Linked DNA regions of Saccharomyces cerevisiae S288C. The gene in region 1 interacts genetically with each later gene. Each region holds a gene or a part of one and is shown in the gene's direction. Other genes may lie near its edges. The genes, in order: SOV1, DFG16 and IZH3.

The links.
Region 2: mutations in SOV1 (region 1) and DFG16 impair growth when combined (synthetic growth defect), as found in Saccharomyces cerevisiae (one study listed by BioGRID).
Region 3: mutations in SOV1 (region 1) and IZH3 impair growth when combined (synthetic growth defect), as found in Saccharomyces cerevisiae (one study listed by BioGRID).

The regions. Positions count from the first base shown.
Region 1 is NC_001145.3:399,726-403,486, forward strand, and holds the start of SOV1 (Sov1p), read left to right. Parts: upstream 1-1,815; coding exon 1,816-3,761. Other genes in the region: KAR5 (Kar5p), read left to right, coding at 1-1,491.
Region 2 is NC_001147.6:384,933-388,693, forward strand, and holds DFG16 (Dfg16p), read left to right. Parts: upstream 1-1,892; coding exon 1,893-3,752; downstream 3,753-3,761. Other genes in the region: YOR029W (uncharacterized protein), read left to right, coding at 1-3. UniProt on the Saccharomyces cerevisiae protein: Involved in invasion during filamentous growth.
Region 3 is NC_001144.5:185,116-188,876, reverse strand, and holds IZH3 (Izh3p), read left to right. Parts: upstream 1-1,747; coding exon 1,748-3,379; downstream 3,380-3,761. Other genes in the region: putative ubiquitin-protein ligase UBR2, read left to right, coding at 1-1,214. UniProt on the Saccharomyces cerevisiae protein: ADIPOR-like receptor involved in zinc metabolism either by altering membrane sterol content or by directly altering cellular zinc levels.

The DNA.
Region 1 (3,761 bases):
TTGTTTGCAATTTGTATTAAGTTTGTTTCAAGCTCCGAACTAGGAAAAATCAACAATCTGCTGCAAGGAAGATTGATATACACAGATAATTCCGTTGCGACAAATGTATTAGAATCCAAATTTCCATTCTTGAAATCAACATGTGTTAAAGACGCACTAAAATTATTTTTGCCACAATGTATTGCAAATGGACTTGAATCCATTGACGCTGAAACAAGGGTAGAAACGGCCATTAAACTTTCAATATGCGAGTTTCAGGCATCTGGCTTGGGCGAAATACCAGAAAATTGCATGGTTGACGACCTAGGATCAATGATGGATTGTATGTTTGAACTAGAATCATCTTCACAGTGGTGGACAACTTATAGTGGAAATTATCAGCGACTATCGAGTATTTGTTATGAAAATCTTCTTCCTTTTGAAAAAGAACAGATACTGAAACTTTTTCTAAATATCACTGAACTTTATGATTCATTTGGGGATGATGTCGATACTAAGTTAAATCATCTGATGTTTCAAATGGAGCAAGATTCTCAAAATTTTTTGGACGATCTGGCCAGGATGTTCCGCAACTATGACAATGAACTGCGAAATGCGACCGAAAGCAATCGAATAATCTTAGAAAACGACCTCTCATTTTTTAGAAATAAAGTGAATGATGTACTCTATGAAACTTCCGAACAACTAGAGGTCCAAATCATAGAGAAGAACAGTCAACTAATGAATGAAGTTGATACCGTCCATCATATTATGAGCGATCTAGCCGATGAGCTTGCTAAAAATGACATAAAATCTAAGATAAATGACTTGAAGGACGACAGCCTGAATAATTTACAGGACCTAGTGGAAATGTCCAACGACGTAAAAGAATATTACTCTAGAAATAACAAGTTAGTTAATACCGAGTTGGAAAACTTCTCGATGGGTTTAAAAAAACAGTTAGGAGGCATGTCAAAGGATCTTTCTGAATCACAAATGGAAGCTATAGAGCTCTTGCAAGGGTTCAATTCCATCCTTCATGATTCATTGTTACCATCCATGACGGATGAGATAGTACCTGAGATGACGAACTTCAAAAATACCTTACTACAAGAATGGACAGCTATAACATCTACACTAAATGGAGATTTTGCTTTATGGAATGAGGAGATTTTTTCAACTTTTAATGATATTTCAGAGAAACTGAATGGCACAAAAAAAAAATTAGACGACATTGAAATCAGAGTCTCACTTGTCCATAAAAATGTCATGACAATGATGAGGGTATTGGATTTTATGTGGAAAACTAGTAAAATGATTATAAGATGTGGGTACCTTGCAGTCAAGAATAAATACTACTGGTTACTGTGCTCCGTTGTGTGGATTTGGTCAAAATACCGTACGTCTCGAGTAAACGTCAAAATGATTCCTATTAAACGCTATTACCAATGGGCAGCTCTTCTACTTTCAATTTATCTAGGAGCTAAGACTGGCTCATTGATTGATTTTTAACATTACCGATGTAACAATATATGAAAGCCTATATATACATAGATGTATAGGTATATAGCCGCATTCAAAGTCTAGCAAAATAAATATTCTTTAAAAATTCAAGGACACCGGATCATGGTGGCCATAATACGGGCAAGTGAACCTAGAGAAGGTGTCCTACGTCACTATCCAAGTTAATTTGCTTAAGAGAGTTCGAGTGCAGCACCTACAGCTTTATCATTGAAGACGAAGCAAAAAGATCTTGAGATTCTATATCATGGGCACAGGTAGTATTCATTAGGTAGTAGTAACGTATTAAACAAGGCCATACTATATTTATAACTCATGTTCAAATACAACCGCTCACTCTGTAGCAGCGCTTTGATAGCAAAGTCTCAGATTCGTTTTTATAGATTGAAGCGGGCGCCATTGAATTATGCCTCCCATATACCTGAAGTTCTTAATAAGACCATCATAGGGCCAGACGAACCAGAAAAATGTCTCATTTTGAAAGGAAAAACATCAGAGGAAATCGAAAATAATCTTCTCAGTAATAAGAAATTTCAGGAGATCAATCCTCTTGATACTATCCAGGAAACGTTCATTCAATATCTGAAATTTTGTAATGAAACTAACTTTAAAAGAAGTAACAAGAATTTAAACAGATTAAAAAAAACCTTAGAAAGCAAGGACTCTAATAGCACCGTAAAAATTAATGCAGTTTTCAATTATTTGCTCGAAGAGTGTGATTTAGAAATCAAAAGATTGAACACGACCGGCCAAACCCAGGTATACAATGAAGAGAAAGGAAATGAAGATGACTTAGAGCAATCCATAATGAACGATATTTTCCGATCAGCACAAGAACAATTTGAAGATCAAGAGGGCCATATACCGTTAAGGAGTACATCATTTTTACTGGAGATTTTGAAAAGTTTTAATGAACGGTTTAATGGCATAATCAAACCGAAAGAGTCAATAACAGAAATGGTCACATTCAGCCAACTTGCTCAAGCTTTTGAAGTTGTTAAATTGATACCAGTGCAAGAAATGAAGGAGAAAGGGATTTACTTGGTCGGAAATTTACTTTATGGCACAGGGAAAGTTCGTTTAGATCCTATAAATGAGTCATTCTATATTGAATCCCTACTAGTTTTTGGAAACTATAAGGCTGCATACAGTTTATTTATTACCAATAAAGACAAAGTAAACGAGCGCTGGTGGAATGAACTAGGATTAATGATCACATTAAGGTCTAACCACTTGAGAAACTTCAGGAAACTTTTAGCCGAGACAGATGCAAAGTACTCAACAAAGTATTCTTATTTGAGCCCAAGAGTTACCAAATTGAGCATACGAAAATATTTGTCGATTGGCAATGTTACTGAAGCTAATATACTGACTGATCGATTTATTAAGTTAGTGGAAGAAGTTGGAATAATCAGAATGAAAGATGAGCAGGAGGAACTTCCCACGGGAGTTAAAAATTTTCAGAATGAGAAACATGCAACTGAGTTCTTAAATGAACTAGAAATACCATCGGATCATGATTATATCAGCATTGTTGATTTCCATCTTTATAAGAGAAATATTCCCATGGCGGCTCAACTTATCAGCAAGTACATGGAAATACCTGGAACGACACAAGAAGATGCCGCATTTCTACTTGTTAAAACCAAGCTAAATATGTTGAAAGATTTTGAAAAGCTACGAAACATTTTTGCTCAAAATAAAGATTATGTAGTGCCTGAGAATAATGTGAAAATGTTGCAAGAGGCATTTGAGAGCGTTATTACTAAGTATAACACTAATTCTCCAATATACAATGAATTGCTGTTTGAGAATGTTTCGGCCTTAACAAAAAGTATTGTATTAACTGATTTTCTGGAAGAGTTCATTACTAAACAGGCTTCTGGACAGTGGATGGAATTAAACAGTGTGTCACGTTCCAGAAAGTTTAATGGCTTGTTGAACATACTTCTCGGTACAGGTGAAGAAGAAAAAGCATATAATATCTTAAAAAAACTAGAAGAAGCCTCAAAGAAATCAAAAACAGATCCAGATTTACTCTATAATCAGTTTTATTCGGAAGTTAATGCATATCATTACGCTAAATTTGTTGAATTTTATAGTCTTCAAATTCAAAATATGAAGGCACAAAATACGCCCTCATTTAGAAAAAAGGAATTTAAGCAGAAAGTGAAGTCACTTTTAAAAAGAATGCAGGAGTCAGAGGTTATCCCAAATGCTGTTTTTTTGAGAGAAATACTCAATTTTTATGATAGCATGTA
Region 2 (3,761 bases), on another chromosome or scaffold:
TAACAAATTAACGAACAATAGTTTTAAAAGCAAGTGCCTTAAGATTTAGGTCATTCCTTCGAGGATTTCTGGGAACAATTTAAAGAATAACAGAAACTTTTGCGGCCCTTTTCATCATCTACGTGTTTTGTAAGAATGAGATCACATTCCACGTAGCCCTAAACATTGGCGTACATTTCCACTCGGAACCTTTTCTCGACCCCTCTCCGTACGCCAAGTTTTACCTTGAGGAGTAAGTCGTCAAAGGGGCGTGGGGCAGCCATTTCTTAGGAGGTGGGAAGACATGGCAGTGAGTGGGCCCTATGATTGCTGCTGCAGGGGACTTTTCAGGATAATCATGTAAACGATAAAACGGAAAAACAAAACTACGGACGTTGTTACCTTTCCATTTTGAAATGTTTCTCCGAAAAAATACCATTTTGCACAGTTCAACATTCTTGATGGCAAAAGCGAAGCATTGCGTCAACGGGTTAGATAAGTCATTTACTGTCAATTAGTACCAATACCTGTCTTTGCTCACCGAATGGCACTATACAGTGACGTTAAGATCTTGTAGTTGTTTTTCAAGAAGGCACTAAATAAGGTAATATATGGTGCCTTTCGCAATGACTCGTGTATCTGGCAGATCTATAGCTGCACACCTGATTTTTTTGCTATATTTGAATCAGGAGTAAGTTTGAACCATAATCATTCCAATTCAGTTTGATAGTACCTTTTTTTTAAAATTTTTGAAAGAGCTATCGCTTAGCTATCGGCGGGCATATTGAATTGCGCAGTAGATGAACATTTCACTAGTTGTGGCCAAAGAAGTTAGTTAAAAAGTGTAAATATGTCACAGTACTTATCCTTCTCTAAAGAATTAGTTTATTAAAAGCAGCAACAAGAAGAATGACTGTCAACCATTTTTAGGTCATTGCAACAAATCTCAAAATACGCTTTTATAGATAATCTAAGAAGATCGTTATATGGGAATACTAACAGTGAGAAAATGGAAGAAACGGGTTAGCGTAGAAAATTGTAATTAAAAAACAACAGTTTTAAGAAGGTGGTGGGCAATTAATACTTGAGGATTAATACTTAGAGCTTATTCAAAAAGAAAAGATAGAATTTCATGTAATACATGAGAACAATGTAAGGTTTTTAAGGTAACGAGTAACTAAGTTTTGAAATATCTTCACTAGCCTTGCAATCATCTTTTAGCTTTTCTATTTGCCGGATTCTTTACAACATAATCACGCTTTCTTCTAGTTGTAATTTTCCTTCTAGATGTCATTATTTCAACCGATGTCATTAATATCCTTTTATGGTGTTTACAAAAAGAAAGTTTCAAGTACCGCTCACCTACACTACGTTGTAATTCTTAGATACATAACTTTAGTTTTGTCGCCTATGTGCACAGATAAACAAAACAACCTATAAAATTTCCGTTGGGCCCTTTTGTCCCTGATTTCTGGTGTGTAACCCATTTATTTCTGTCCTGTAATAATTCGTCTTCGGTGATTGCCATATATACACAGTTTAGCTTTACTAACTATAAACATCCGAGAAGAAGAAAAAAGAAGGTCTGATTTCTATCAAACAACATGTGAAGATAACACAATCGATGTGATTGATATCAGATTTACTAGCCCCGTTGGATTGAAAAATCTGCAAGGAAGGGCTAAAGAGCAATATACTTTCTTTTGTTGTTTCGGGGTGATGAGAAAATTGTAACTTTTTTTTTTAACTTGGCGAGAAAATTGACTGGAAGAAGTGTCAAAGATAAGGCTTCTATCATATTCAAAACAAGTACCACCAAATGGCAGCTCAACTCCGAAGGCTCAAAAACAATACTTATTGATATTGCACTCACAAGCATTTTTTGTTGCGGAACGTCTTTACGTGCAAGATTAATGATCATAAGATTGCATTTTTACTACCTCCTCACTTTAGTTTACCATTTAGGACTTGTAGGTGCGTATGAAAAAGCAGCAAGAAAGAGAATTCAACCTCCCGATTTGATACCTGGTCCTCCGGGACATAAACTTGGTGATGAAAGACCACCGCATTACGACCACCGGCCACCTTATAAAAAACACATCGACAACATTCCAGCTTACAATCTGACTGATTTGATAGATGATAAACTACTAAATAAATATGAAAACTCATGCACGGTAAATGTATTGACAGGTGGCTTCATCTCTCTAGCAAGTAATTCGTGGCACTTACGTGCTTATAATTACACTTTAAATTACCCATCCTTTTTGATCCGATGCGATAATGGCAGTGCAAATCCTAATTTCTCTCATGTCTTACAAGACTTTGTTTATGACATCAACAACAAATTCAACGTTCAAGATGACAGTAGTAAATACATCGGAAAAGACCCATTTCCCTTAGGAATGATAATGATCACCTTTGCTTCTGGGTGTATCTGTGTGGCAACATGGATGCTATTTTTGGTTGTCTTATTACTGCCATCCGATAATCATAATAGAAGAAATAAAGTTGTACATGTTTACGTCCTTTTCTCTGCGATTATAAGAACTGTATTTCTAAACGAGACTATAGCCGTCATATTTGACAGCCAATATCACGATGACTACCAGGATGCGAGCCAATTTGAATCGTTCATCGTAGAAACTGCACCATATAAAATATGTGAATTAGTTGCAAATATTTTGAGTGATATAAACTGGATTTATATTGTTCACTACTTACAGTCCAATTATGGAAAACCAACTTGGAATTGGATCCCATTTAAAATGAAAAAGGGGACACATATCATAATTACCGTGGGTTGCTTCCTCTCACTAGCCGATAACATTTTATTCGCAAACCTTCTTTGGAGAAAGAACCTTGTAGTTTTGAAGGTATTTTACAAGCTAATCGAATTACTGATTTACACAATTTTCATCTCCATTATTTGTTACTTCACATGGCATAATTTTGCTTACATACTTTTACCGAAAACTGCTGAAATTAATACGGACGGTAAGTGTAAAACGAAATTGAGAATTCTTTGGGAAAATTATCACGAAACTATACCATTATTGGCGTATAATATTCTTATATTTATTTTATTCTATTTCACCACAATTTTTTTCGCTGCTTTCACCAAACATGTTAGAGGTTGGACATTTAACTTTGTTCATCTTTTGAAAGTTTTAATAACAGTGAACGTTTGGGGCTTAATTGGAGTATTGGAAAAGAGGGAGCTGCACATAAGCAAAAAAACAGTCCTTGGACGAAAAATTAACAATAGGGACAAATTTTTCGCCAATCCAACAGTCAATTATTACGGAGAAGATTTAGGCAAGCATTTAAGCGCCATAACGTTAAACAGGGATTTAAACACTACTAAAAGTAACACTACTTCCCACGATTCATCAAGTTTAGTAGGATCCCCTTCACCCACCTGGAAATCTCCAATCGAAAGAATAAGGGACAGAAGAAGAAGACATAAGATAATGAAAAGTGAGAATAAATTTGGGCAAAATCCCAGTTTTGGAAGTAAATCGAATGGCAAACCTAATACTAAAACGACATTATCCAAATATCGACAGCTATTAAGGAAGCCTAGGCGAAAAACCAATTCATATGAACCAAAAAATGGCATTGGACAGAATAAAGAAGGCTCAACTGTTAGACCAGGAGCCGACAAACATATTAGAGATTCCAATTATCTAGCTACAGACATCAGTGACAACGAAAGTATGGAAACCGAACTTCGAACCAACCACATTTATAATTACGAAAATAGTGATTAAGGCAGGCCC
Region 3 (3,761 bases), on another chromosome or scaffold:
TTTGTGAGCTAAAGTCGTTTATTTACAAAAAATTTGTTAATTCAAAAACATTCAGCAGCGAAATCTCTCGTAAAATATGGAATTGGAATGAGTTTCTAATAAAGGGTAATAATGTGAATCTACTTTTGTATATGAGTCAAAATTTTGATAATATTGATGGAGGAAAAACCCCGCAACCGCCTAACCTATGTATCTATGAAATGTTCAAAAGAAGGTTCCATCAACTACTACTGTTGCTTGCAAGAGATATGATGAGAGTAAACTTTTACAAAGACTGTCGAAATAAAATCAAAATATCATCAAACGGATCTGAGGAACCATCGACAAGCTTTTCATATCTATTCAATACTTTTAAAAAGTATGTTGATCTCTTTAAACCAGACGACGTTCGGTTTGATTTTACAAGTTTAGAGAAAATTAAAGACTTTATATGCTCTCTATTACTAGAGTCATTGTCCATTTTTTGTAGAAGAACCTTCTTATTATTCAACATTCAGTATGATGATGATGGTGATGGTGATAATAATAATAACCGCAGCAATAATTTCATGGACGTCAAACAGCGTGAAATAGAGCTTATTTTCCGGTATTTTAAATTACCCAATTTAACTCACTTTTTGAAGGATTTTTTCTACAACGAACTAACACAAAATATAGAAAGGTATAATGATGGTAATGATAATTTGAGAATTCAGCAAGTAATATATGACATGGTGCAGAACATAAACACAAGAGCATATCCTTCACCAGAGCATATCCAGCTTATCGAACTACCATTGAACCTTTCCAAATTTTCCCTTGATAATGATGAAATATCGAATAAATGTGATAAATACGAAATCGCAGTATGCTTGTTGTGTGGCCAAAAATGCCATATTCAAAAAAGCATAGCACTGCAAGGTTATTTACAGGGGGAATGTACTGATCATATGAGAAATGGATGCGAAATCACCTCCGCTTACGGAGTTTTCTTAATGACCGGCACAAATGCGATATATCTGTCATACGGCAAAAGAGGTACATTTTATGCTGCACCTTATCTAAGTAAATACGGAGAGACCAACGAAGACTACAAATTCGGTACTCCCGTCTATTTGAATCGGGCGAGATACGCGAATCTAGCGAATGAGATTGTTTTTGGCAACATGATTCCGCACATAGTGTTCCGACTAACGGACGGCAGTGCAGATCTTGGTGGGTGGGAGACTATGTAGTTATCCAACAAATGTCTAGTCATTCAAAATTGCTACGAAATTAGCGTATCCGAAAAATCAAAAGAAATTTTATCTGTTTTAATTGGCGTGGGGAAGTGGGGTAGGGTCGAGGATCATTACGCTTTCTCGTGGGAAGGGACAGGGACGGACCGAAAAAAAAAGAAATGCCGCAGAAAAAGAAATGTTTTAGTGTGGGGTATGGGCTGAAGCTCGTATAGTGCAGGGTGACTTCACTTTTCTTTTTACCCTGCAGGAAATGGAGAAAGTGTTGATGGATAAGGTATATAGTCATAAGGTGACACAGCGTGGGTGTACATCTAGAAAGCTTGGCGATTCGAGCGAAGTGGTGGTTTACTCGTTTTATAATAAGAGTTTTTGGACATTATTTTTTCTTTAGGACACAGTTGATTCAAATTCTACACTTGTTTTGTCGTCTGGTAAAGTTTAGCCATTGTAAAGTGGACAAAGAAGAAGCTGCAACGCAGATAAGCTGAAAAATAGTTCACATCCCAACAGACAATCAAATTAAGTACATGATGGACTCGTCAAGCAAAAGCTTAACTCAGTATATACCCTCACCCATGGGATCTCTATCAAGGCTAAAGCAGAAGGGTGTGGACAATTTTCAGAAGGTGAAAAAATCCGGTAAATCCATCTATAATTACAACTACTCAAAATTCGTTCCTCATCCATTTTCAACTATTGATGAAAGTGTTAAACACTCTGAAAGTGGGCGGTATGATGATTTGGAGATAATTCGTCCAACAAAAGAAAAGGAAGTAACAAGTTCTGTGTACAAAAGAAACAGTGGCAAGTCTCTGAATACAGAATCTCAGTTTTCACTGGGAGATTCAGATGCAGCCACTTTGGTGAATTCAGTCGCTACTTTCAAGCTTAACAATGCTTCTACATCCACTTCACTGGTGTCTTCATCTTCAACTGTATGTTCTCAAGCGAAGTCCTCGTTACGTTCCCCAACAAGTCGTCTCAATGATACAAAAATCAAAGAGGAAAACAATTATATTTCCAGCGTGAAAGACTATTGCGGTCCAATGAGAAAATCCATGGTAAAGACGGAAATCCTCATTGAAGAACCTTTGAATCCTACTACCGATATCAAGTCTTTTATAAACTCATACAACCATGGCAAAGCGTATAGTCTAGGTGAAACTCAACATTTACATTATTATCAGTTGCCATTCCCATGGAGGGAAAACAGATACATAATCCATGGCTATAGGTTTTACAATACCCATTCCAAATCTTTGTTGTCTATCTTTAACTGGTACGGCTGGCATAATGAAACTTCAAATATTTGGTCTCATTTGTTAGGAGCCATTTATATAATCTACTTGGCAATTTACGATTTCCCTCAGTCTGAAGTTTGGCGGAATTCCCAGGTTCCACCACAGGCTAGATGGATTGTTTTCATGTTTTTGGCAGCTGCGTTGAAATGTATGCTAAGCTCCGTGTTTTGGCATACTTTCAACGGAACGTCCTTCTTGAAGCTACGTTCTAAATTTGCGTGTGTCGACTATAGCGGTATTACGATCTTAATTACAGCTTCGATATTGACAACGGAGTTTGTTACCATGTATTCATGTTACTGGGCGATGTACACTTACATGAGTATTTCTCTGGCGCTGGGTGTATTTGGTGTGTTTATGAATTGGTCGCCTCGCTTTGATAGACCTGAAGCAAGGCCATTAAGAATTAGATTCTTCATTTTGCTGGCTACTATGGGTGTATTGTCGTTTTTACATTTGATATTTTTGACTGATCTTCATTATGCTGCAACGCTATTTAGCCCCGTCACATACAAATCTGTTGTTTGGTATTTGGTTGGTGTGGTATTTTACGGTTCGTTCATTCCTGAACGGTTCAGATCTGACGTTCAGGTTGATAAGACCATTCCAACAAACTACGAATTATCTACTGATTTAGAAATCATCACAAAGCAAAGGGAAATTCATTTTAGAGAGGTGCCAACAGCCCATTCCAAATGCAGTTCCTGTCCGTCTCATGCCAAATCATTTAAATCTCTATGGTGGGTTGACTATTTTGGTTGTTCGCACACTTTTTGGCATTTCTTCGTAGTGTTGGGTGTCATCGGCCATTATAGAGCTATTTTAGATATGTTTGCCAAGAGGTGGATTTTGTCATGATGGTATGACTGACTACCTTTACTTACAACATCCTGCACTTTTTCTGTATACGATAAACGGACTTAAAAGAAAGAAAAGCCTACAATTACATTGTTGGAGAAGCCACATAGCAATTTCGAAAAAAACCAGAAATTGTAAACCACGAATTCTCCTGTATTATTTCATTGTTAAAATTTTTTTTTTACTTATATTATACCCATCTTTTTCGATATTCCTGCTGGCATTGTTTTGGCTACATTTTCAAGAAACTTTGGATCCAAAGACAAAAGGAACAAACGAAATCTAAAAGCAAAAAAAAAGTTGACTGATTATAAAAACTACATTACGACGAAAAGAAAATAATAAAACTGTGTACTTTTAGTTTTGCATTTATGTATTGACT